Linked DNA regions of Canis lupus familiaris. The protein of the gene in region 1 interacts with the protein of each later gene in a pairwise test. Links are inferred from orthologs where the notes say so. Each region holds a gene or a part of one and is shown on either strand. Other genes may lie near its edges.

Evidence for each region.
Region 2: the proteins of ARHGEF11 (region 1) and PLXNB1 interact in a two-hybrid assay, tested with the Homo sapiens proteins (2 studies listed by BioGRID). The link is inferred for Canis lupus familiaris from reciprocal best matches to the Homo sapiens genes ARHGEF11 and PLXNB1.
Region 3: the proteins of ARHGEF11 (region 1) and PLXNB3 interact in a two-hybrid assay, tested with the Homo sapiens proteins (2 studies listed by BioGRID and IntAct). The link is inferred for Canis lupus familiaris from reciprocal best matches to the Homo sapiens genes ARHGEF11 and PLXNB3.

What each region holds. Positions count from the first base shown.
Region 1 is NC_049228.1:40,990,222-40,998,088, forward strand, and holds the start of ARHGEF11 (rho guanine nucleotide exchange factor 11), read left to right. Parts: upstream 1-2,680; 5' UTR 2,681-3,044; intron 3,045-4,297; exon of another isoform or gene 4,298-4,492; 5' UTR 4,493-4,558; coding exon 4,559-4,590; intron 4,591-7,867. UniProt on the Homo sapiens protein: May play a role in the regulation of RhoA GTPase by guanine nucleotide-binding alpha-12 (GNA12) and alpha-13 (GNA13). Acts as guanine nucleotide exchange factor (GEF) for RhoA GTPase and may act as GTPase-activating protein (GAP) for GNA12 and GNA13.
Region 2 is NC_049241.1:41,071,312-41,078,384, reverse strand, and holds part of PLXNB1 (plexin-B1), read right to left. Parts: exon of another isoform or gene 6,878-7,073; 5' UTR 6,825-6,877; intron 6,253-6,824; 5' UTR 6,247-6,252; coding exon 5,140-6,246; intron 4,360-5,139; coding exon 4,177-4,359; intron 3,844-4,176; coding exon 3,715-3,843; intron 3,619-3,714; coding exon 3,518-3,618; intron 3,227-3,517; coding exon 3,094-3,226; intron 2,816-3,093; coding exon 2,659-2,815; intron 2,406-2,658; coding exon 2,297-2,405; intron 2,223-2,296; coding exon 2,114-2,222; intron 1,765-2,113; coding exon 1,078-1,764; intron 877-1,077; coding exon 754-876; intron 558-753; coding exon 435-557; intron 149-434; coding exon 55-148; intron 1-54. UniProt on the Homo sapiens protein: Receptor for SEMA4D. Plays a role in GABAergic synapse development. Mediates SEMA4A- and SEMA4D-dependent inhibitory synapse development. Plays a role in RHOA activation and subsequent changes of the actin cytoskeleton.
Region 3 is NC_049260.1:122,762,992-122,770,645, forward strand, and holds the start of PLXNB3 (plexin-B3), read left to right. Parts: upstream 1-2,713; 5' UTR 2,714-2,867; intron 2,868-4,194; exon of another isoform or gene 4,195-4,313; 5' UTR 4,314-4,377; coding exon 4,378-4,437; intron 4,438-5,595; coding exon 5,596-5,712; intron 5,713-5,969; coding exon 5,970-7,010; intron 7,011-7,072; exon of another isoform or gene 7,073-7,207; intron 7,208-7,354; coding exon 7,355-7,534; exon of another isoform or gene 7,535-7,654. UniProt on the Homo sapiens protein: Receptor for SEMA5A that plays a role in axon guidance, invasive growth and cell migration. Stimulates neurite outgrowth and mediates Ca(2+)/Mg(2+)-dependent cell aggregation.

The DNA.
Region 1 (7,867 bases):
AATTCAGGACATAATTTCTTAATGTTTATCCTGATTTTTTCTGTCCAGAACTCTATAGTTTACAGAGCCCGTGCTTAATCTTATTCAATCCTTATAACCAGCAAACAGTAGGTCCAGAGCTAAAAAGGGATACATCCCCCGAAAACTCACTTCTTTAGGCTCCTACACTAGTGCTCTTTCCATTAACCAACCGCTGCTTCCAGATTCCTGCCACATAGTCTGTCTTGGCCCCAATCTAATATTCTATGTCTTATTTCTAAACCGAGACTTTCAGTTTGCTTAAGTGGCCAGTTGACTGCAGGGAACTCTATCCCACTAAAGCCATCCCCCTTCTCCATAGACTTCAAAGTGGAGTAGAGTGTACAAAGAGGTGCTCAGATGTGCACAAGAAAAATATTTAAGAATGCATGCACAGAAGTATTTAACTAGAGCAAAAATAATTGTTTAAGCTTTACCAATACCCATCTTTAACCTACAGGCCGACCTGGCACTCTCTCTGGGCCAGTGCTTCAGAAATCATCTGTCACGTGCAGTGCAGTGAGTGAGATGTTTCCAGGAACGAGGGGTAATGCCACATACAGTTCAGACATTCATTTTCTTTACAATGTAATGCCAGTCACCAGATAAAAACAAGCCTGTTAATTGCTACAAATTTGACATTTCTTTTATTTTTATTGTTTTGACATTTCTTGGTAAAGAAAGGGAGAATGACCATGAAAATCCTTGTTCTGCAGATTCACTGGTTATCTCCAGGGGGAGGCCCAACAAGAGATATTGAACACAGAGGAGATACACTTTTTACTTTACAACATCCTGTGTTGAGGATTAGCTGGCAAGAGGTTAGTAGCACTGATTTCAAAAACAAACAACAATCCACTTAATCTATTCCTTCAAAGTGAACATGATGGTCTTTTAATGAGTGAGAGTCATGGCTTTTCTAAAGAAAGTCACACATATAGAGAAAATGGTTAGAAAATGTATGACTACCAATGTTCCCAATATCGTGATTTTAAAAATTTATTTCTCAAAAACGATGTGTGTTACCTGGAAAAGCTTTTTATTTTTTTTAATTTTTTGTAAAAGCTTTCTAAAAATATTTTTTTATTAAGTAAACTCTATGCCCAGCGTGGGGCTCTAACTCACAACCCTGAGATCATGAGCTGCATGCTCAGGCAGGTGTCCCTCCCATTAGCTGTAACACTTTTATGTGCACATTTGAAAAACTAAGAAATAGAATTCGAAAAATTTTTAAAGATTTTATTTGTTTATTCATGAGAGACACGGAGGGGAGGGGGGCAGACAGGCACAGGGAGCAGCAGACCCCAGGCAGGGAGCCTGATGTGGGACTTGATACCGGGACCCCAGGATCACGCCCCGGGCCGAAGGCAGGTGCGAAACCGCTGATTCCCTAAAAATCTGTTTTAAATGAAACTTCTTAGAGAGTTTGGTCCCACTTGTTAAAATTATAAAATCCAACACTTTCCTATCATTCAAGGACTAATTGACTTAAAATGTTAATTTACTAGTTGAATTTCAATGAAAACCTTTGCTTTGTGGTGAATGGATGGGAAAATGAATGCCATGATTTAATAAATACAATCAAGGATGCATTTCTTCCATTTTAATCTAGCTCTTTGAAGAGTATCTCTTCTAGTTATGACAGCCAATAAGATTCACTAAGTATGAATTTAAAAATGTACTTCATCGTGGGGCGTCTGGGTGACTCAGTTGGTTGAGCTCCAAACTCGATCTCAGCTCAGGTCTTTTTTTTTTTTTTTTTTTTTTCAGCTCAGGTCTTGATTTCGGATTGGGGGTTCAGGCCCTACACTGGGCTCCATGCTGCAAGTGGACCCTACTTTAAAAAAATGTACTTCATCTTTATTTTGGTCTTTTAATATTCCTACTCTAGGGTATGTTTCATAAGGTATGTAATAAAACACATGCACAAAATTATTTTGAAATATTCCATGTGGGACGCCTGGGTGGCTCAGCGGTTGAGCATCTGCCTTCCGCTCAGGGCGTGATCCTGGAGTCCAAGGATCGAGTCCCACATCGGGCTCCCTGCATGGAGCCTGCTTCTCCCTCTGCCTGTATCTCTGCCTCTCTCTCTCTCTCTCTCTCTCTCTTTGTCTCTCATGAATGAATAAATAAATAAATCTTTAAAAAAATATTCCATGTATTAAGAAAGCACAATCAATGTTTGTTGATCACTGGTTGATCTATCAGCACAGAGGGAGGGTCCACACTTGGGAGAATCATCTCTGCCAGTCATATGGGAACAGAATAAACAATAGGACAATGACAATTTGGACCGTGGTGCTTCAGATGCCAGCGGACCACCTGTCTTTGCAAGTTCTGATCTAGGAGGTGGTGGGGATGGGGAGAAGGTGATGGGTCTTCCTTTTATTTGTCAACTTGTACCTGGTATAATTTAGGGGAATCTCCTGGGTTATTCCAATGGTCAACCAATGCTTATTAGGTTCTTTTTTCCTCTTGCAATTTGCAAACCCGGCCCTGGTAACATATTTGGGGGCACTGAGCTCTCCCCTCGCGGCTCGCGGTCATGTGCGGGTCAGGACAGTGTACTGTACATACACTTCCCCCAGGAACAGTCAAGGTGGTGTGGGAGGGAGAGAGCACAGCAAACACAGCACCGCCTGCAGAGCATTTTACCATCGCCTCTACCTAGGCAAGAAGACAGAGCTCATTCCCCCGTCCTAATAAAAAAGTTTCCTTTTTATCTTGTTTTTAACTACAACGGCAGGGACCTTCTGACTAATGTCATGTTCCTTGGAAAGATTTAGGAACTGTGATTCTATGAGAGGGTTTTATGAAAACAGAATCGGCCTCGAGAGGCTCTTCATTGGGTTGGGAAACGCTCCCGGGCGGGTACCCAGGTGCCCCGCGCAGCGGCGGAGGGTCAGAGCCCGGGGTGTGAGCCCCCCGGGCGGTGCTGTCGGACGTGGGGAGAACACGGGGAGCCGGCCGGTTTCAAGGGCTCCCGGCACCCAGGAAGGAGGCCGCACGGGTTTCTGGAGGAGAAGGTGAGCGCAGGGGTGGGGAGCGAGCGAGCCGCGGGAGAGAGGCGCGCCCGCGGGGAGGGGGCCGGCCGGCGGGCAGGGGGCAGGGACACAGACAAAGGGGGGGCGGCCCCGGGCCGGGGAGGGGGGCGGCGGGGGCGGCGCACGCTGCCGGGGCGAGCCGGGGCCGGGGCCGGGGCCGGGGCCGGGGCCGGGGCGGCCGGCGGGCCGGGCCGGGAAAAGCCGGGGATCCCGCCGCGCCCGGGGCCGGCTAGGCCTCGCGGAGGGAGGCAGGCGCGCTAGGGGCTGGGGGCCGCGGGGGGAGGGCGAGGGGAGGGGAGGGGAGGGGAGGGGAGGGGAGGGGAGGCCCCGGATGGGGGAAGGGCCGGGGGAGGGCCGAGAGGGAGGGGGGAGCGCCCAGGAGGGGGAGGGGAGGGGAGGGGAGGGCCCCAGGAAGGGGGGAGGGTCCGGAGTGGCGCGGGGGAGGGGGAGGGGCGCGGAGGGGAGGGGAGGCGAGGAGGGCCGGCGGGGGGCGGGCCCGGGGGAGAGGCCTGCGGGCCGCGCCGCCGGAGCGGGGCCGGAGGGGGCGGCGCGGGCACGGGCGGCCGGCCGGGCCTGCGCCCCGAGGAGCGGTGCGCCGAGGGGGAAGGGCCCGGAAGGAGCCGCCGAGCCGCCTTCCGCGCGCGCCGGGCCGGAGCCGAGGGCGGCGGGCGAGCGGGCGAGCGGGCGAGCGGGGCGGAGGGGAGCCGGGGCCGGGCCCCGCGCGGGCGGGAAGGCGGGCGGCGCGGGGCAGAGCGGAGCCCGCGGTTGATGGCGGCCGGGGCGCGGGGCACGGGGAGGCCGGGGGCCCGGCGGGCGTGAGGCGGGGGCGTGGGCTCGCCGAGGGCTCCCTCGCGGGCTCCGCGGTGAGCGCTGCGGTGGTGGTTGTCGAGGCCGCAGGCCCGGCCCGGACTTGCAAGGCTGTGGCGGCGCGGCGCGAGCCGGTGCCTCCTCTCGGTTATCCGCCGGCCTCCCTGCCCGCCCCCTCCCCCCCCCGCGCCGGTCCGGAGCGGCCCTCCGCGGCCCTGGCGAGGCGGGCGCCGAGCTGCCCAGCGCGGGGCCGGGGCCCGCCTGCCGGAGCAGCCCCGCGGGCCGGGACCCCGAGCATGGGCTGCGGCGGTGGGCCGCCCTGAAGGCCGCCGGGTGCAGGGCGCGCTCCTCGGTGATTCATGCCTTAGCCCGGAGCGCTAACCTTGAAGAGATTTGCGGTTGGGTTTTTGGTTTCTAAGAAGGTCATAGCTTTTCCTCTTTTTTTTTTTTCTTTCGGTTTTTTTCTCCGACGGGGGAGGGGCCGGGGGCTGAGAAAGGACAGCATGCTCGCTGGCACAAGTAGGATGGAGCCTCGGTTCCCAGGGTCCTGAGAGCCGGCAGGGAGCGTGAGCATCTGGCCCGGAGGTGGGAGGCCCTCCTCCCACGGTTCTTAAACATTGCAGCTCACCCAGCCCGGATCAGGACGTCAGAACTGCAGGATCCTGGCTCTGCTGAGACCCTGAGAAACCATGAGTGTGAGGTTGCCCCAGAGCATAGACAGGTAGGTGTACTCACGACGTGCTTTCTGACACTCTCTTACCCAAAGGCGGGGGGGGGGGGGGGGGGGAGGGAGGGAGGGAGGGAGGGTGCTGCATTTCGGTAAAAGGACGCAGAGGAAGGGTCCGGCTGGGAGCACGGGCCTCCGGGGACTCTCCCGGCATGTGTGTTTACGTTCCCTCCGTGTGTCCATGTCCTGATTCAGTGTTTTTTAAATACCAGCCATCAACAGCAAAGCCAGGAGAGGAGAAAGGGGGGAAGTGCTTCCCTCAGTCTTTGACTTTTGCCCTACTGCAGGCTGAATTTGGGGCCGTGACTTACCAGTGTGTAGGGGGCGGGAGGCACACACGCTTGATCACGTGTGTCCCCAGGGTGGATTGGGACTGGCCTTAGGTGTTGAGCTGCTGGGGGAAGGGGCCTGGCAGGGGTGTGGGCCTCCACCGGCAGCTTTGCTACATGGTGGGGTTTGGTGATAGGGTGGATTCCATTTCTAGAATGAAGAGGATGTTCTTGGCTTGACGGATGGGACAGAAGCACCCTTTGCGCCCATCCAGATCTGGCTTTTTGCCAGTGAGTTATTGATGATGGCCCCCAAATGCGCGGTCGCCTTAGAATTTCTCCCTCTCCGAGCTTAGGGTTTTAACTTGAGACCTGCCAACCGGTGGATGCTCTAAGGTTTAATCTTCCAAGCCATTTTTAATAAGCTTGACTCTGCAAGATGGGCCATCCCTCTGCCTAGAGCCAGAACGGGTTGTGCTGGGCTCTCAGGCCTGATGGGCAGAGGTGCTGGTTCTTGGAGTGTGAGCCCAGGATCCACCCCTCCCCTCCCCCCAGCCTCTGCATCACTGGTACCACCACAGTTTACAACTTTGTGATGCACCTGCCTTCCCACCCCTACTCCAACCCTTTCTCAAGAATCTTGAGAGAGGGTTGTTTGGAGGGTGCTACACACATCCTAACTGGATGGATGGGTGGTTAGAGGACTGAGCAAGCAAATGAAAACCCTGGCTTGGAGACAGTGTTGCTGGAGAGGCAGGGAAGAGCAAGGAGCGGTGGCGTCTCTATGCCAGTTAACCTTTGATTATACATGCTAGTAGTAATTTCTTTCAGGCTATGGAATGTGGCCTAAGTATAATCCCTCCCAAACGCTAATCTCTGTATTGTCTCTGAGTCCCTGTTAGATCAGTTTGGCAGTCTCCCACCGGGGACCTGACTTGGCAGTGGGGAGAAGATAGCCACAAAGGACGTAAAGTGTGTGTCCCTTCCCCTTGTCATTGGTTTCCCTGTAGTTCATGTCTTGTAAAGGGAGGCCCAAGGTGCATCAAGGCAGGGAGGTAACATGGTTACATAGCTACCTTCTCTTTTTGTCACACTGGAATTTGGAAATTCGTGTACCTACCTGCCTTTTGTGAGGTGTGGATGATCAGTGATTTCTCTGAAATCAGGGATGTGAACAGATGAAAACCCAGGTTTGGGGGAGCAAGAAGGAAACCATGAGGGTTCCGGGGCTGATGGGAGATGCTCCTCTGGAGTTTGTATATCCTCCTAGACTGCTCGGGATTTATGGTATGGGGCGTCTCCGCAAGTGCTTTCACAGAACAGGTCTCTTCTGAGCTTCACAGCATTTCTGTGAGGCAGACAAAGTGGAGGTTATTATTCCCGTGGTCCAGAGGGGGTCCTTGAGGCTCAGGGAGGGCACCTAGCTTGCCCAGTGGCATCTGGCTGGACTAGTGGCAGAATCTGAGCCTAGTTATGGGTCTTCTGACCCAGGTTCTTTGCTAACCCCATGCTGGCTAACTGGGTTTGTATATTGGTCCTGTGGAATGTGGTTTTCGTGTCTCCTTTTGACAGTAGGATAAGATGCTCTTCGGTAGTCCCTTTGCACTTGTCTTTTTTTTTTTTTTTAAGGTTTTATTTATTCATGAGAGGCACAGAGAGAGAGGCAGACACACAGGCAGAGGGAGAAGCAGATGTGGGACTCGATCCTCAGATCCTGGGATCATGCCCTGAGCCAAAGGCAGACGCTCAACCGCTGAGCCACCCAGGCGTCCCTGCACTTGTCTTTTTAACAGTCTTGGGGCTAGCACCATAATTCCTATAGTAAAGCACCTGTTTCTCCTGTGGGCTGATGGAGCTTTGCAGATTGAGAGCGTTCCTCACCCCTGCCCCTACCCCAGCTCTCTTCCCCATCAGAGGCTCAGGTCTCTTCCAGATATCTTACCCCTTAGGCTGCAGGCTCATTCTCCTGGACCTTTTGACATCTCAGGTTCAAGACTGTGGATTTTAAATTATAATTTTACATGGCACTGGAGAGATTGAGTGAAGAAGTGCTCCAGATTGTAGAGTCAGAGATTCTCTTACAGCCCATCAGTTTGCCGTGTAGAGAGTCTAGTGTAAGATGAGTATTTTAGAAAATTAAAGTACGTGGCTCTCGCTCACGAAGGGTGTGTAGTCTGACTGGGGAGTGAGGGAAGGGTAGGATTCCTGAAGACTGTGTGACAGTGACAGTGGGTGGTAAGCCCCAGGAAGGCAGGGCCTGTATCTTCTTTGCTCAGTGGTGCGCCTGGGGTGCATGTTCCATCTGTCTGTGACAAGCGAGTTCTGGGAGGAGCAAACATGTCAGCAAGTGTCAGTTCTTCCATTTCAGGGTGTTTTAGCATTCCTGGTTGATTGCCTGCATAGTCAGAACAAGGTCAGAGAAGGCCTCCGAGGTGGTGTGTATTTCTTAGGGAGGAGCCATGAATGTAGAGAAGTGTGGCCCAAAGTAAAGAAGCCTCTGGAATATTTCTTCAGAAGCACCTTTAACCCCCTCTTGGGACTGACACCTGGTTCCATAGGAATGAGAAGTATTTGTGATGAATGTGGATCTTTCTGTATCGGTCAGTTGTCCCTGACACTCAGGCTGGCACAGCTGCTCCAGTGCCCGGCCGTTTTGTTCATAGACAGCTTATTACCTGTGAACACATGCTCTTCTTGAGAGTTTCTGAAAGTGTATTTGATGTTGCAAGCAGAGGTAAGGACACTGAGTTATTTCTATGGAAATGGTGATGAGTTTTGCTAGACCATCTACATCCACTGCCTTGTCTCCGATGGCAAATATTTCTAAGCTGCCAGGTGGGTTAGGTATCTGTATCCATAGTACAGGTGTCCTCTGTGCAGAGTCACTTAGTCCTGTGGGCCAGCACAGATAGGGAAGCACTATATTTAAGCCAAGAAGTCCTGGTTTGAGCCCTGGCAATCCTCTTAACTCCAAGACCTTGGGCAGGTCACTTACCTTCTCT
Region 2 (7,073 bases), on another chromosome or scaffold:
GTGAGAGGCAGGCGTGGAGGAGCCCCAGGCCCCCAGAGGCCCCAACTAGCTCACCATGCAGCCCATCAGCACTGTCCACACGCAGACGGCCAGCCCGACGCAGAAACAGCCCCACACGGAGCTCTGGCTGCAGAGCCTCATAGCTGAGCTGGAGAAATGGGAATGAGGTCAGAGCCTGGGGCTGGGGGAGGCATCAGGCCTGGGGAGGGGGTGGTCAGAAAAAGGGACCAAAATGACTAGTTGCGGGAACACAAGGTCAAAGTTGAGGTGCAGGGACCTCAGGCACATAGGGTCAAAGGTCAGAGCCGGTTACCCAGACTCCCTCAAGGTCACAGGGTTACAGCTGGGCTAGGATGAGTGTGGTGAGCCAGCTGAGGTTGGGAGCCAGCCTGTGGCCAGCACATGTTGCCCACCCAGGTATTCATAATCCATACCTGGTTCTGCTGGCATGTAACATGGCACTGGGTATCAGGAGGTGGCTCACACTCGACCCGGGCCTCAACCACCACTTCGCGGCCCTCCAGCTCCATCACACACTCATTGTCTCCTGGGCTGTCCTGGGGGCAGAGAACACAGCTGGTAGGGCAGGCAGTAGTAGGAGCTGAGCCCAGTGAGCCCCGTAGGGCCCCTAGTAGAGCCCCTGGGTTGGGATTGAGACTTGGGGCCAAGCTCTCTTCCTGCTCTCCAGGGCTTGTGTGTGGCTGGTCAACAGCCAAGGAGGCTGCAAGTACACTAGCAACCCAATGCACCCACCTGGAAGAGGCGCAGGTTTCTGCCCAGCAGCCGGACTTCTCGTTCCACATGGACGGGTATCAACGTGGAGCCCTGAACACTATCTACACAAGGGCAGGAGCTGGCCCCCTGGTTCACCTCCTCCTGCAGACACCAAGAGCAAGGCAGTCTATGGAGCCCACCCTGTCAACTCACCCATTCCCCATGCAGAACCTGGGGCCCAGGCCAGCATGGAGCTGCAGAACCCACCCTGCCCCTTGAACCCTCCAGATGCAGAATTGCAGGTAAAGGGCCGAGTCTGCCCTGCGTCCCCTCCCGAGGCCTCCTTCCTGGGCTGGGCCTCACCAGCTCCCAGAGCCCGGGGGTGTCGTATTGGTAGTCGAGGCTGGACAGGAGGATGAGGGGGGCAGGAGGGCCCTCGTGCTCAGCCGAGTCTCCATCACCTGAGAGGAGGGTGGAAGTGGAGAAGGCGGGTGTGTCACCCCCTGTCCACTCGTCCGCCTCAGGCAGCTCGCCGCCTTCTCTCATGAGCCAGTCCAGAGCAGGCTTCACGGAGCCAGCGGCCCCTGGGAAAGTAGTGGCGGGAGCAGTGCCGGGGGGCTGGTCCAGGAGTGCCGCAGAGGGGTCGGCCTCGGGGCCGGGGTCTGCAGGGGCAGGGGGCAGTGCTGCTGCATCTGAGGGCGATGGGTGGGAGGCTGAGAGGTCTTCGGGTGTGGCCATGGGTCCGGAGTCAGTGGGGGCAGGGACAGCGGTTCCAGGTCTGTTGGGGGGGTCGGGAGGGGGAGGTTCCTCATGGAGAGGTGACTCTGTGGAGGCTGAGGCAGGTACGGGACCAGGACCTGTCCCTGGCCCCCAGGGGCTGAGCAGGGAAGGCCCGTCCCCAGGTGGGACATCCGAGGCTGTGGCTGTGGAAGGGGCCCCAGGTTCCATGGGAAGGGGGTCAGGAGCAGGGGTGACAGGGGCCTGGGGGTTTTGGGATGGGAAGGGGGTGGGTACATCTCTTGCTGGAGGGGCTGGGGAGAGAAGCAGGCTCTGAAGGGGGAGGCAGAGAAAGACAGGAGGGGCCACTCAGCAGGCAGGCGTGGGAGCAGGTGGCAGGCAGGCAAAGGGTGTGTTAAGAGGAAAGGAGACCAAGGGAAAGAGAAACAAAAACAGCCCGTTAATTCTCCAAAGGAGAGAGGGGAGGGCAGGCTCCAGGGGCATCTGTGCTGAGGTGGGGCATGAGGCCCAGACCTCCCCTGCCGCTCAGCCACAAACGTCTCTCCTCAAACTCCAGTGAGTCCGCCACACACAGCAGCCCGCGGGTGGGTAGGTGCACAGACCCTGGGCCATCAGAGAAACCCACACAACCCTGTGGGGCCCGGCTAGAGGTCCTGCTCACCTGCTGGCTAACAATCATGGGTCCGACGTCACATGAGGCCTTGTGCGTGCACAGCTGCTGCCAGACACACCAGTTACACCCCCAGAGGCTGCTCACACAGGCCTGGCACCTGCACAGAGCACAGCCATGGGGCAGCGGTCACCACAGGGGAGCCCAGGTGCTGGGGGTTGGGGAGGAACTCACTGTGCAGACGGGTGGAGCTCAGTGACTGCTCCACAGTCGTAGACAGAGAGCGAAGCTTTGGCAATCACCACAGCACCGAACTTAAGCTCCACGCTCACGGACACGTGGTCTGCAAAGCGGGAGAGAGGGGCCCCGGAGTGGGGTTAGCACCATCAGCAGGGAGGAGAGCCCAGGGTCTGGGGAAGTCCACAGGGCACAAAATGGATACTTTAGGGACTTGGGGACTAGCCAGGGGACTCAGAGAAAGGTGCTACTTTAGGGCTCCCAGCCCAGATTCACACCTCACCCCAAATGCACCCCTTGGGGCAAGATGAGAGGGTGGGGCTCCCAGGCCCCGGAGGCTGGCCCCTTCTCTCACCCACCGGCTCCTCTTGGCAGTGCTGGGGCCTCACTGGGGTCTGGGGAAGGACACATCACACCAGAACTGGTCAGCAGGGCAGAACTCTGGTGATCCCCAAACTGGCAGGAATAGGACTCCCCTGGCCACAGGGGTGGCAGGTCAGGCACTGACAGGAAAACCTGCCAAGAAAGGCCACAACAGGCTTTTGGAGCAGACCAGGGCTTGTTTCTGGGGTGTCCAATGTAAGCAGGCTCAAGGGCAGGCAGCCCCCAAGGGCTGGGGGTCCTGAGCCTTCACAATTGCCTTTTAGCCTGGGTTAGAAACAGAAAGCAAGGTCCAACGGGAAGTGACTCATATAAGGCCATGTGGTATTTGGAGCCACTGACACTAAAATTCAAAGTCTTGACCCATCACCAGAGCCCTCCCTATGAGGAATGCGCCTGCTCTGTTCATTCACCTCCTTCCGCTCCTCTCGGCTGATGTTGGCAGGACTTATAACTGCCACTCGCAGACAACGCAGCTCAGACTGGAAACTCCACAGCCACCGCTCTGGGCCCTGTCCTCGTGAGCACTCGGAACGGCGACTACACCTGCATGAGAATGATGGGGATCCACCTTCATGGGGGAGGGCACCTCCAATACTGGGGACCTCAGCAGGATCCTCAGACAGGCCGTGACACTAGGCTACATCTGCCCTGGCAGGCCTCTGATGTCCAGGATGGAGGATGCAGGAAGGAGAGTAGGGCATCCAAGGCTCAAGGGTTGTAAGTCAAGGGTCAAGGACCAGGAATACTGGACAGGGCAGTTATGCAGGTGCAGTGCTAGGGCAGGAGGCTGGGGTTGGGGGATAGATCGGGGTCAGGAGTCAGTAGAGCACTGACCTGCCAAGAAGCACACACCACCCACAGTATGGGTCCTTGTGAGCAAGACAAGATGCACAGTCCAGGAGCTGAGCACAGGAGGCCACAGGAACCTTGAGAAGCTATGACAGCAATCCAAACACCAGTGACTCATGGGTCCCTGGCCCAGCCCAAGGCCCTTCCCAGCAGCCAGGTCCCAGCTCTCGCCTGGTACTCACTGTGCTCTGAGTCATGACATACAGGTGCTCAAAGGACCCATCAAAGGTAAGGTCTCTGCTCACAGCAGACCCCTGCTGGATGTTCTGTGTGGAGTATGGGTGGCCATCACTTCCCGGGCCCAAGTAGACCTGAAATCAGAGACCACAAGTTCTGGTACCCAAGTCCATGGCCACAGACCCAAGACCCTCTCCTCTCCCCATGACTGAAGCAATTTACAAGCAGAACTTTCTCCTAGGCAGTACAGGTCACGCCACCCAACCCATGGGGAGGGGATGGGGAAGTCATAGATAAAAACCACCCAGCCCTGGAAAGAGAAGCATAAGTCATCTCTCCTAGTCTTGGGGCCAGGGGTGTGTCACAGATCCTTCATCCCAGCCTTAGGGGTCAGAGGCATAGTTCAGCCCAGGCTGGTCACCAGCAATTTATCGTGGGACAGAGCCCAGTACTTCCTGTGGACTCACCCTGTGCAGTTGCCCTTGACTGTCACCCAGGAAAGCAATGGTGTGTCCATCCTCCACAGTGACTGCCACAGCTGTTAGCTGGACCCTTGGCCACTCCAGAATGGGTGTGGCTTCTAGGGGGACACGGCTGGCCATGGGGCTGGGCGTGTGATCTGAGCCACAGGGATAAGCATCCAGGGTATCCTACAGGCAGCAAGACTAATAAGGCCCTCCCTGGATATCACAATCCCCTGGCCCAGCCAGCTTTCCCTAAATGATTCTATTTCCTCTGCTGGGCCTCCAGGACAGCCTTATCCCCTCACCCTTCTCTTCGGGAGACCATAGACTGCCCCATCCCCACCCAGTCTCTTTGCCAGCCCTCCCTGACATTGCCCACAGCTGCATCCTTAGCGTGGCCTCAGCTGCCTTGGACAGGCTCCAGCAGCTCCTTACCCTGCCCCTGATCCCCACCCATCTGGAGTTCCACCTTCTCCCAACCCCAGCTTATGCACTCAGTCTTCCCCTTGTCCACCAGCTTGTGTCTTCATGTCCAGGTCTGCTCCCCTAGGCCCCTACTACCTTTCCCTCACTCAGTCCCCCTGGGTGGGGCTTCTTCCCTGTGTTATCCATCCAGAAGCTAGAGCCAAACAAGTCTCAACCTCACCAGGCTCTTGCTCAAAAACCTGAAACAGGGCCTAACTCCCTACATTCTAGGTCCCTGCCCCATACCCTAGGACCCCAAACACCCTCAGTCTACCCACACAAACACCACCTCTACAGAGCCCAGTCCAAGCCCAGCTATGAATGGCTCTCCAAAACCTGAGCGCCACAATTTCAGTAAGGTATCTCTCCACCACCCAGGCACAATGGAAGTACATTCCCTCCGTTGACCTGATCAGCCCCCACACCACCACTAGTTTCCCTTCAGAGTCCTCGGGCAGCTGCTTGGCTGTGAATGCCAGACAGGAATCAGCTGGGACTCACCACCGGCAGCTGTGCACAGTCAGAGTTGACATCATACTCAATATAGGCCACCTCGATGCCATCCTCGGCACGGCCCTCCCTAGTGTAGCAGGCATCTCGTGTGCGGTTAGCAAGGCGATCCACCTCGTCCAGAGGGAAGGCACAGAGGGCAGAGGCTCCAGATGCTCCGGCAGCTGCCAACGGAGGCCGGCCCACAGTGGGGGGAGCGGCTGAGGAGAAGGCTGCAAAGAGCACCTCGCCCTGGGCCACCTCCCGGGATGTGGCCACAGCCGCAGCCTGAAGCAGCCCATAGCGGCCACCCTGGCAGGCCAGAGGCAACTCCACATAGGAGTAGTAGTGCTGGTCCTGGAGGCACACTCGGGACACGTAGGCACGAAATGCTCTAGACTGAGCCTGCAGGTCTCGCCTCAGGAACAGGAAGTAGGCACTGGCCCCACGTGCAAAGGCGCTCACGAAGTGGTGGCTATACTCAGAGAGGCGGCCCACAGCCAACTTGGCCGTCTCCTCATAGGAGAAGGCAATTTGGGGGTCCAGCGGCCACAAGGTCCGGGTTGTGATGGGAGGGATGCCACCCCCCACACCCCTGCTGGTATAGCCTCGCCCCACGAAGAGGAGGGGCTCCCCAGCCAAGCCCTGGGCCACCAGTCCCACTGTGCTGACCGCAGGATCATTGGCGGCCACATATTGGGTGTCCCCAGGGCGCTCGGGCCGCAGCAATAGCTGTTCAAGCTGCCCCAGGCGCCGCAGCTCGCAGACCCCCTGGTGCACACTCCCGCACACCACCAGGGCCCCTGGGCTCACCAGGAGCAGCTGGTTTAGGTTGTTGGTAGCCTGGGCCTGGGGGCACTCATCTGGCATCACAGGTGGCAGGCAGTCCCTGCTATCTAGCACAGGGCCCGTGGACACGGTAGCCTCCAGCTGCAGCCCAGGGCTCAGCTGGAACAGGAAGTTGGTGGCTCCTAGGTAGAGAGTGCCTGAGGTGGGATCCCGTGTCAAATGCTGCAGATGCGTGCCATTGGGAGTAAAAACAGCCAGTGGAGGGGGCTGGAGGGTGAGAACCCACCCAGCCCAGAACACCTGGAGAAGAGCTGGGCCGAGGGCAGGCATGGTCACCTGGCAAGGAGAGAGATGGAGTGCTGAAGGGCCACTGTTGGGATCACATCACCAAGATGATTCTCCTAACCCCAGGGAGTGAGCAGAGGAGGCCCAGGCTTAGATGGCACTGTGGTCCAGGATGACCCCAGGACCACATACTAGCAAGGGGTCAGATCTTTTCCTGGTAACTTCAACACTGTTCGTTTTCTGCAAGCACTATGGTCTCAGGAGACCTCCATCCCATCCCACCACCCCTTTGCCCTGCCCTGGCCTGTGTCACCACAGGGTCCGAGGGTAAGCGGCCAGTGGGGCAGAGATGTGGGAAACAACCCAACCCCAGGGGACTGGGGCCTGGAATAGGCAAGAGAGCAAGTGAGGGGAAGGAGAGGCCCAGAGCCCTGAGAGGCTCAGAGCACTGAGAGGACCCCTCTGAAAAGGCCAGGAATCCAGAAGGAAACCACAGAACCAATGACAAGATGAGGGAGGTTGAGGCTGCCAGGGCTGGGGTCTGAGAAACTAGACCCCACCTTGGAGAGCCATAAGAAGGAGTCACACTTCTCCCAAGTGCCTAGGTGTGAGGTCAGGCTCACCTGGCAGGGCTGACTGGATCAGGAGATAACAGCATGACCTGTGTGGGAGTCACCTAGCCAGGGAGATAGCAGAACATGAAGCTGGGGGCTGGGCTGCAGGCATGTGGGAGCCCAGGCTCCCCTTCCCGCTGCCCAGCCTGCCAGTGGAACTGGGCCCAGCCTGGCCCTCAGCCACCAAACACATTCCACAGGGGACGCCTCCTCAGAGCCCACACAGGGAGGAGGAGGGCAGTGGAACCAGGCACCCTC
Region 3 (7,654 bases), on another chromosome or scaffold:
GCAAGATAATTTTGGAAGATGAGGAGGGGGAGCAACAATCTGACGGGGAAAGCAAGGAGAAGGAAAAGGAAGCCTTCAAGCTTTCGTAAGTGTAGTAGAGGCAGACAAAGACACCAAAGGGACAGAGGACAGAGCTGCCAGCCTCCCAGACCTGGGACAGGGCATGTGACCAAGGGCTCAGTGCACATCAGTGGACAGCCCTCCACATGGAAAAGGAGAAAAACGTGACCCCTACCTCACACCAGCTGCAAACAAACCCACTCCAGAGGCATTAAAGAGCACCTGAATATGAAAACCAATTTTATAATATTTAGAAACGGGGCACCTGGGTGGCTCAGTGGGTTCAGTATCTGCTTTCAGCTAGGGTCATGATCCTGGGATGGAGCCCCCCATCGGGCTCCCTGCTCTCGGCCTCCCACTCCCCCTGCCTGTGTGCTCACTCTCTCTGTCTCGAATAAATAAATAAAATCTTTAAAGAAAATTGAGAAAAGAGACCCAGGAGACAACTTCTCTGACCTCGGGTAGGGGAAGATTTCTCAAGCAAGACTAAAAGCACAAAGCATAAAAGAGAAGAATGATAGGGGCAATTAAATCTACATTAAGACTTGCTTACCCAACGATGCCACTGGCAATCTGAGAAGACAAGTCACAGGCCCGGAGAAGACGCAACAGATCGGACACTGGTGCCCACACTGTACACAGAACCCGTCAGCTGGTGGGGAAAGACAACCCACATCAAAACCTTGGCAAAAACAAAAAACAAAAAAACAAACCCTGGCAAAGCCACGCTCGGGCATTTTGCAGCAAAGGAAGCATGGAAAAGCTCAACGGGACTGGTAGGCAGCGGATGACAAGTCAGAGCGCCACGAGGTGTCACCACCTGGACCCACAGCACGGACAGGAAGGACTAAGGAAAAGCCCTCGTAGCAAGTGTCGGTGACCATGCGGCCCACAGAAACGCGTACGCGGTGGCGGCGGCGGACGTGGGACAGCAGCTGGGACGATGCCCCAGCCTGGAAACCCCAAGTGCCCGCGGCCAGGGGACCCAGGGAGCTCCTCGCGGCGCCCCGGACCCCGGTGCTCACCCAGACGCTGGGCGCGGCAGCACGGGGCGCCCCGACGGATGGCGGAGGCCGCCCCCCAGCCCTTCCGGGGACGCGGGCAAGGCAGTGGCAAGGGGCCGGGGTCACCGCCCGAATCCTCCAGCTCGACTCCCTTTCTGTAGGAGGAAAGCCCACAAAGCCAGCGGGCGGCGTCCACGGGCGCCACCGCCTTGGGACGAGGGGCCCTTGCAGGCCACACGCACACACACCTGTTAAAAACCGGGTGGAGTGAGGGCAGGTTTCTTTTCTTCCGTGGAGAGGTAGGAAAGCTGTTCCCACCGCTGAGCCAGAAGCTGTCTTTCCTGACGTCACCGAGGACACACGTGGGTGTTAGGTGTGGACGGAGAAAGGTTTGGGGAGAGAGGGCCAGCTGTCTACGGGGTTGCTGAGGGCAGTCCTTCCCATCCTATGGGTCAGAGCCAGCCCCTCCTCGGCCCTCCCCAACAGCCTGCCCCGCCTGGAGCTTCTAGATCCTTCCCTTGGCCCCCTCTCGGCCACCTGGTCTTCCCCCTTGGAGGGTGCATGGCTGGAGGCAGTCACATCCACATCTGCCGGGCCTTTGGGCTCTGGGTCGCCCGCTTCCCGGGGCACCCCGATCTCCCCTCCGAGTTCCCACCCCATCCCAGTGCTCCAGTCACCTCGTGCTGAGCTTCTCACACTCAGACCCCAACGACTCCCCTGGCCGGCTCCTCTTGCTCACGGAGCCCTCAGTCCGCCCGTCCCTCCCCACACTGCCCACCCCTCTCCGCTGGCACCCCTGCCCTGAAGGGAGCAACGCTCCAGCAGAAAGGGCCCGGGGTCCCCTGGATTCTCCTCCATCCACTGCCCCCACCCATCCAACACCAGGCCTCTAGGATTCCGTCCCCTCCAGTGTATCTGCCACGCGCCCCCCTCTCTCCATGCCCACAGCCACCACTGCTCCACACTCCCCCACGTTCTCCACCCAGGGCCACCGGCTTACACTTGTCCAAATTCACAGCTATTTACAAGGTCGTGGTGACGTACGTAAGTCCAGGTCCTCCCTCATTTGCTCACCTCTGCACCCACCTCGAGCACGCCTGTGCTCCGGGCAGGGGGAAACCCCCGTGCGCGTGTCACCCGCAGGCCCTCTCCACTTGGTTCAGAGCTCGGGACCACGTGGCCCGATGGTGAAGTACAGGGGCCCTGCGGTGGACTCTCGGCCTGGCCACCAACTGGCCATGCAGCTTCCTAACCTCCCGTGCCTCCGTTTCCCCGCTTGTGAACTGGAGGAAATAACTGTACCCCCTCCGGGCTCATCAGAGGGAGCGAAGGGGTTAACGCACACGGAGAGCGCCCTGCTTGTCAGGAAGGCATCAGCAGGAGCAGAAGTGTGTGGTTCAAGGTCAGCTTCACTGTCCCGGAGACTAGGCTCCCCGCCTTGGCGCCCTCCAGAGGTGGGGGGTGTCCCCCAGAGATGGGCTCCTCCGGCAGTGGGGCCGCGGCAGGTGGCTCCGTCCCGAGGCCCGAGACCCTGGGAGCGGGAAGGCGCCGGCCCCAGCCCCAGGGCCCGCCCGCCCTCACCTGCTCGGCCAGGTGCCCACCAGGGCCGGCAGGGGGCAGCAGCGCCCCGCCCTGCCCCAGCAGGCAACTGGGCGGGCGGGGAGGGGCTGGGCAGCCCGGCAGGCCCCGCCAGGATAAGTCGGGTTGGGCGCGATTGCATTGTGGGGAGGGAGGCCGGGGCTGCGCCGGGCCGCACTTCTGGCACTGCCAGCTGCTCCTCACCCCTGCCAGCGGCCCACCCAGGTAGGCAGGGGCTGGGCTGGCGGGGGCGCGGGGGGCCGGGGCCGCCGCGTCGCGGGGCACCGCCACGGGCCGTGCTGGGACCTGGGAGAAGCCAGGGGTCTGCAGAGCCGCCTCGCCCGACAGGGCAAAGGCCCTCGGGCACCAGCCAGAGCCCCGGGACGACAGCCCCCGATGCCTCAGGGGCCCGGTACCCCTCCAGGCGGTGGCCCTGGAGCTGGGGGAGGACCCCTGGCTTCTAACCCCCATGGGAAAGCTCTCGGGGCGGGGGGCAAGGCATAGGGTAGGGAGGAGGCCCGCCTGGCTCCCCACCCCCACAGCCACCCAACCGGCCCAGCCAGGTGGCAGCGAGCCCCACTGCTGCCACCTCGTCCCGGAGCGAGCTGCTGGAGCCTGCCGTGGCCGCCGCCGCGCCACGGAGAAAGCGGGGACCCCAACCTGAGCGCACCTGCCCCTGCGCCACAGGCCGGAGCCCCTGCGCCGCCAGCCTCGTGGGCAGACGGTGCCCGGCGCGGCTGGCAGGAGACCAGCTGCCGGTCGCCACTCCCTCCCCAACCCCCTTGGCACCCCGCGCTCAGAGGGGAGCCCAGCATCCTGGGATGCTGCTCCCCTGGGGGCTGTGGGGGGAGGGAACAGCTGGCAACCATTGCCATGCCTGAAGCCAAGTGCTGAGCTCCTGGGGACCGGGCCCCTACCCGTCCCGTGCACCCCCTTTGCCTCGGCCCCTCCAGCAGCATCCTCCCCTGGCACTGCCCACTCCCATCACGCCGTACCTGGCACGATTTATGGGTCCCCCAGGGTGGGGCCGGATGGAGACAGGTCCCTTGCTCTCTGGCCAGTCTTATTCCCGGCCGAGGGGGCGGGGGGGGGAGCAGGGGGGTAGCAGGTCTCCTGGACGTGCTGCCTTCGTCAGCACCTCCCTGCCCCCAGCCCGGACAAAGGCAGGCATTGAGGGCCACGACTGGCACTTGGACCAGGCGCCCAGGCTACCAAGGCTAAGGCTGGCATGGCAGGGGCTCAGCAGCCTGACCTTCCCGCGGAGGCTCGGTGGCCTACCCTGCGCCCTTGGCGGGGACCCGGGAGGGGGACACAGAGAGGACCACGCTGGCTGGCACGGGGCGGGAGTGGGGCGGGGCGGGCTGTGTGGGTCCCATTTTTCTGGCTGGAAGAAACCCTGTCCTTTGTCCCCAGGTCCCAGGGGGTGTCTCTCTGGGGGTGGGGAGTGGCAGGGAGCCCCCTGGCCAGAACAGCCCCGGGGGTGGGGGGTAAGAGCACCAGATAGTGAGTCCCTGGCCTGGGCCCGTGGACAGAGAGGACATTGTTGGGGTGGAGGCAGGGCCCCTATTGACAAAGCTGCCAGCTGTGGTGGAGCCCAGCCGCCAGGCCCTTGGCCCCCCTGGCCTCACTCCTCCCTCAGGGCCAAGCCTCCACTGTCTCCCTCCCGCTCAGGACAATGCCCCCCACAGCCGTCTCGTGCCCGTCACCACTGCCCTGGGCCAGCTGAACTGAGGAGATGCGCCTCCCTTGGTGCCACACTGCCCGGGAGACCCCTCCGCTGCTCCCCTGCGAGGCGGTAAGTGTCTGGGGCCCCCGTCTACACGGATGTCCCCAGGCGGTCCAGGGCCGGGCCCGGCCCCGTAGCACAGGGGGGCCCGGGCGTGGGGCCCCAGATGCTGTCCCTCCACCCCCACACCCACACGCCCCAGACGCTGCTGCCAGTATCCCAGATCTAGAGGAAATGTCCCTGTCCTCAGGCCAGGCCTGACCTTCCTGCCTGTGTCCCGGAGATAAGGGGCTGGGGGCCCCCCTCGGGGCCCTGCCCCAGCTGGCACACCCACCAGGGCCCCGGCTCCGTCTCTGCTGCCAGGCTGCAGGGCGCAGACTGACAGTGGGCCTACCCCGCTGGCACAGGCGCACGTGGCCGGCTGTGCAGGACCCTAGCTCACGGCGGGCCCTGGCTTCTGTCCCCTTCTCCGTGGGTCCGTGCCCAGCAGCTCCGGCCGGCACGGGCTCTCCTTCTGTGCCTGTGGCGCCTGGTCCCCTAGACAGCCGGCCGGGGCCCAGGTGGCTGAGCGGGGTGGCTGCCCACGGCCCCGGCCAGCAGGTGGGGTGTGGGTCCACAGCAGGGGCCCCGCTCGAGCCTTCTCTGGAGGCTTGCACCCCCCGCCCCCCCCCGCAAGGCCCACGGGAGATACCCCTGTGGTGTGAACGAAGGGCTCCGCATGGGTCGTGGGGGGGTTGCCCCCTCCTCAGCGAGGCTCGCCCCTCTTTTCTCTCATGCCTCCAGGTCAACACCCCCAGGGGCTGGGGCCCACAGGCCTCCCCCTGCACCCCTCCCCACCTCCCCCAGCCCCCGCTCTGTCTGGCTCTCACATCTCCCCCCACCCCAGCCCCTGCTCTGCCCCCGCTGCTGCGGGCGGTCTCCGCCTGCCAGTCTCTGGCTGCCTCAGTTTCTCCCTGGCTGTCTCTCCCATGCCCCGCACTGCCTGTCCCCACCGCCAAGGGTCCAGTCTTTACAGCTGGCCCTGCCTGCCCAGGCTGAGTTTTCTCTCCCCGCCTTTGATGTCCCCTGCGCTACGGATGCCCCCCCAGCACGGTGGCCTCCTGCCTGAGTGGCAGGCACAGGATCCCCGTGACATGCCTTCCGCCACCCTTCCTGGTCCCGCATCCTCGTCCTTGCCCCCCCTTCCCTTCGCCCCACCCCCTGCCTCCCCTGGTCTCTCCCCATCAGCACCTCTGGCTTCTTCCCTGCCTCTCCCACCGCCCTTCTGTCCGCGGGAGTCCTTCTGTCCGTGTTCTGCGGCTGTCCGGGATCTGCCCCTCCTCCAACCATCTAGATGCAGAAAAAGTAGGAGATGAAAGCATTTCTTTCCTTGGGCACACGTGGGGGGGCCCCCCACCCTCTCCGCCTCTCGGGCCCTCCCTTCCTCCGCGTCTCCCCCTGTCTGCTCTGTCCTCTCCCTCCCTTGTAGCTGTCCCTCTCCCGGGGTCTTCCCTCCCTCTGGGGCTCTCTCCCCGCCCCCTTCCTCTGGGCCTCTGGCCGCCCTGGTGGCGCAGGCCGGGGTGCTCTCCCCGCCAGGCCTCACTTGCTCCGCGCCCCCCCAGGTGCCTGCGATGGCTCCCCGGCCTCCCCTCGGCCCCCACCTCCTGCTCGCGCTGCTGCTGAGCCTGCCGCCGCCCCCGACGCGGGCCCGTCACTTCTCGGCCCCCAACGCCACCTTCAACCACTTGGCACTGGCGCCGGGCCTGGGCACGCTCTACGTCGGTGCCGTGAACCGCCTCTTCCAGCTCAGCCCCGAGCTGCGGCTCCAGGCGGTGGCCGTCACCGGGCCGGTCCTCGACAGCCCCGACTGCGTGCCCTTCCGCGACCCGGCCGACTGCCCGCACGCGCGGCTCACCGACAACGCCAACCAGCTGCTGCTGGTGAGCGGCCGCGCGCGGGAGCTCGTGGCCTGCGGGCAGGTGCGCCAGGGCGTGTGCGACAAGCGGCGCCTGGACGACGTGGCCCACGTGCTGTACCAGGCCGAGGACCCCGGCGACGGGCAGTTTGTGGCCGCCAACGCGCCGGGAGTGGCCACGGTGGGCCTGGTGGTGCAGGCGCCGGACCGGGACCTGCTGCTGGTGGCCCGCGGCCTGGCGGGCAAGCTGTCGGCGGGGGTGCCGCCCCTGACCGTGCGCCAGCTGGCGGGGCCGCAGCCCTTCTCGAGCGAGGGCCTGGGCCGCCTGGTGGTGGGCGACCTCTCGGACTACAACAACAGCTACGTGGGGGCCTTCGCGGCCGGCCGCTCGGCCTACTTCGTGTTCCGCCGCCGCGGGGCGCGGGCGCAGGCCGACTACCGCTCCTACGCGGCCCGCGTGTGCCTGGGCGATGCCAACCTTTACTCGTACGTGGAGGTGCCCCTCGCCTGCCGGGGCCAGGGCCTCATCCAGGCCGCCGCCGTCACGCCAAGCACCTTGCTGGGGGCATTCGCCGCGGGCCCCGGCGGGGCGGGCGCCGCCCTGTGCGCCTTCCCCCTGGCGCGGCTGGACGCCAGCATGGAGCACGCGCGGCGCCTGTGCTACACGGCGGGTGGCCGCAGCCCCGGCGGCGCCGAGGAAGCCACCGTGGAGTACGGAGTCACCTCCCGCTGCGCCGCCCTGCCCGCCGTGAGTGCCCCTCCCGCCCGATCCCTCCGCACGGTCTCGGGGAGCTGCCGCCGTAGTCCCGGGCTGCGGGTGGCCGGGCGCTGTCGTGTGACAGCCGCGTGTGACCGCCTGGGTGGAGGATGTCAGGGAGGCGCCGGCTCCCGGCTGCCCTGGGCCAGCTTCTTCTGGTGTTTCTTCCTCCGACGCGTCGGCTTGTCCTGCCACGGGTGGGGGGGGCGCGACCACTGTGGCCCGGATCCCCCAGGGCTCCCGGCCCTGCCCTGCGGCCCTGACTAGCTCTGGGCCCCGGGAAGGCACCCCCCCGCCTCTTCCAGGGGCTGATCCTGCCCTCCCTGTCCACCCAGGACTCCCCCGAGTCGTACCCCTGCGGCGACGAGCACACCCCCAGCCCCATTGCTGGCCGCCAGCCCCTGGAGGCCGAGCCCCTGCTGCAGCTCGAGCAGCCCGTCAGCGCCGTGGCCGGCCTCCAGGCAGACGGGCACACGATCGCTTTCCTGGGGGACACGCAGGGTCAGCTGCATAAGGTGAGGTGACCAGGCCGCCCCAGCCCTGGACCCCCGACACCAAGCCCTCCCGCTGCTCGGCTAGGCCCGGCCTGCTGGCTTGCCTGGGTGTGCCCTGCCCCACCGTGGCTCCGGGAGCCC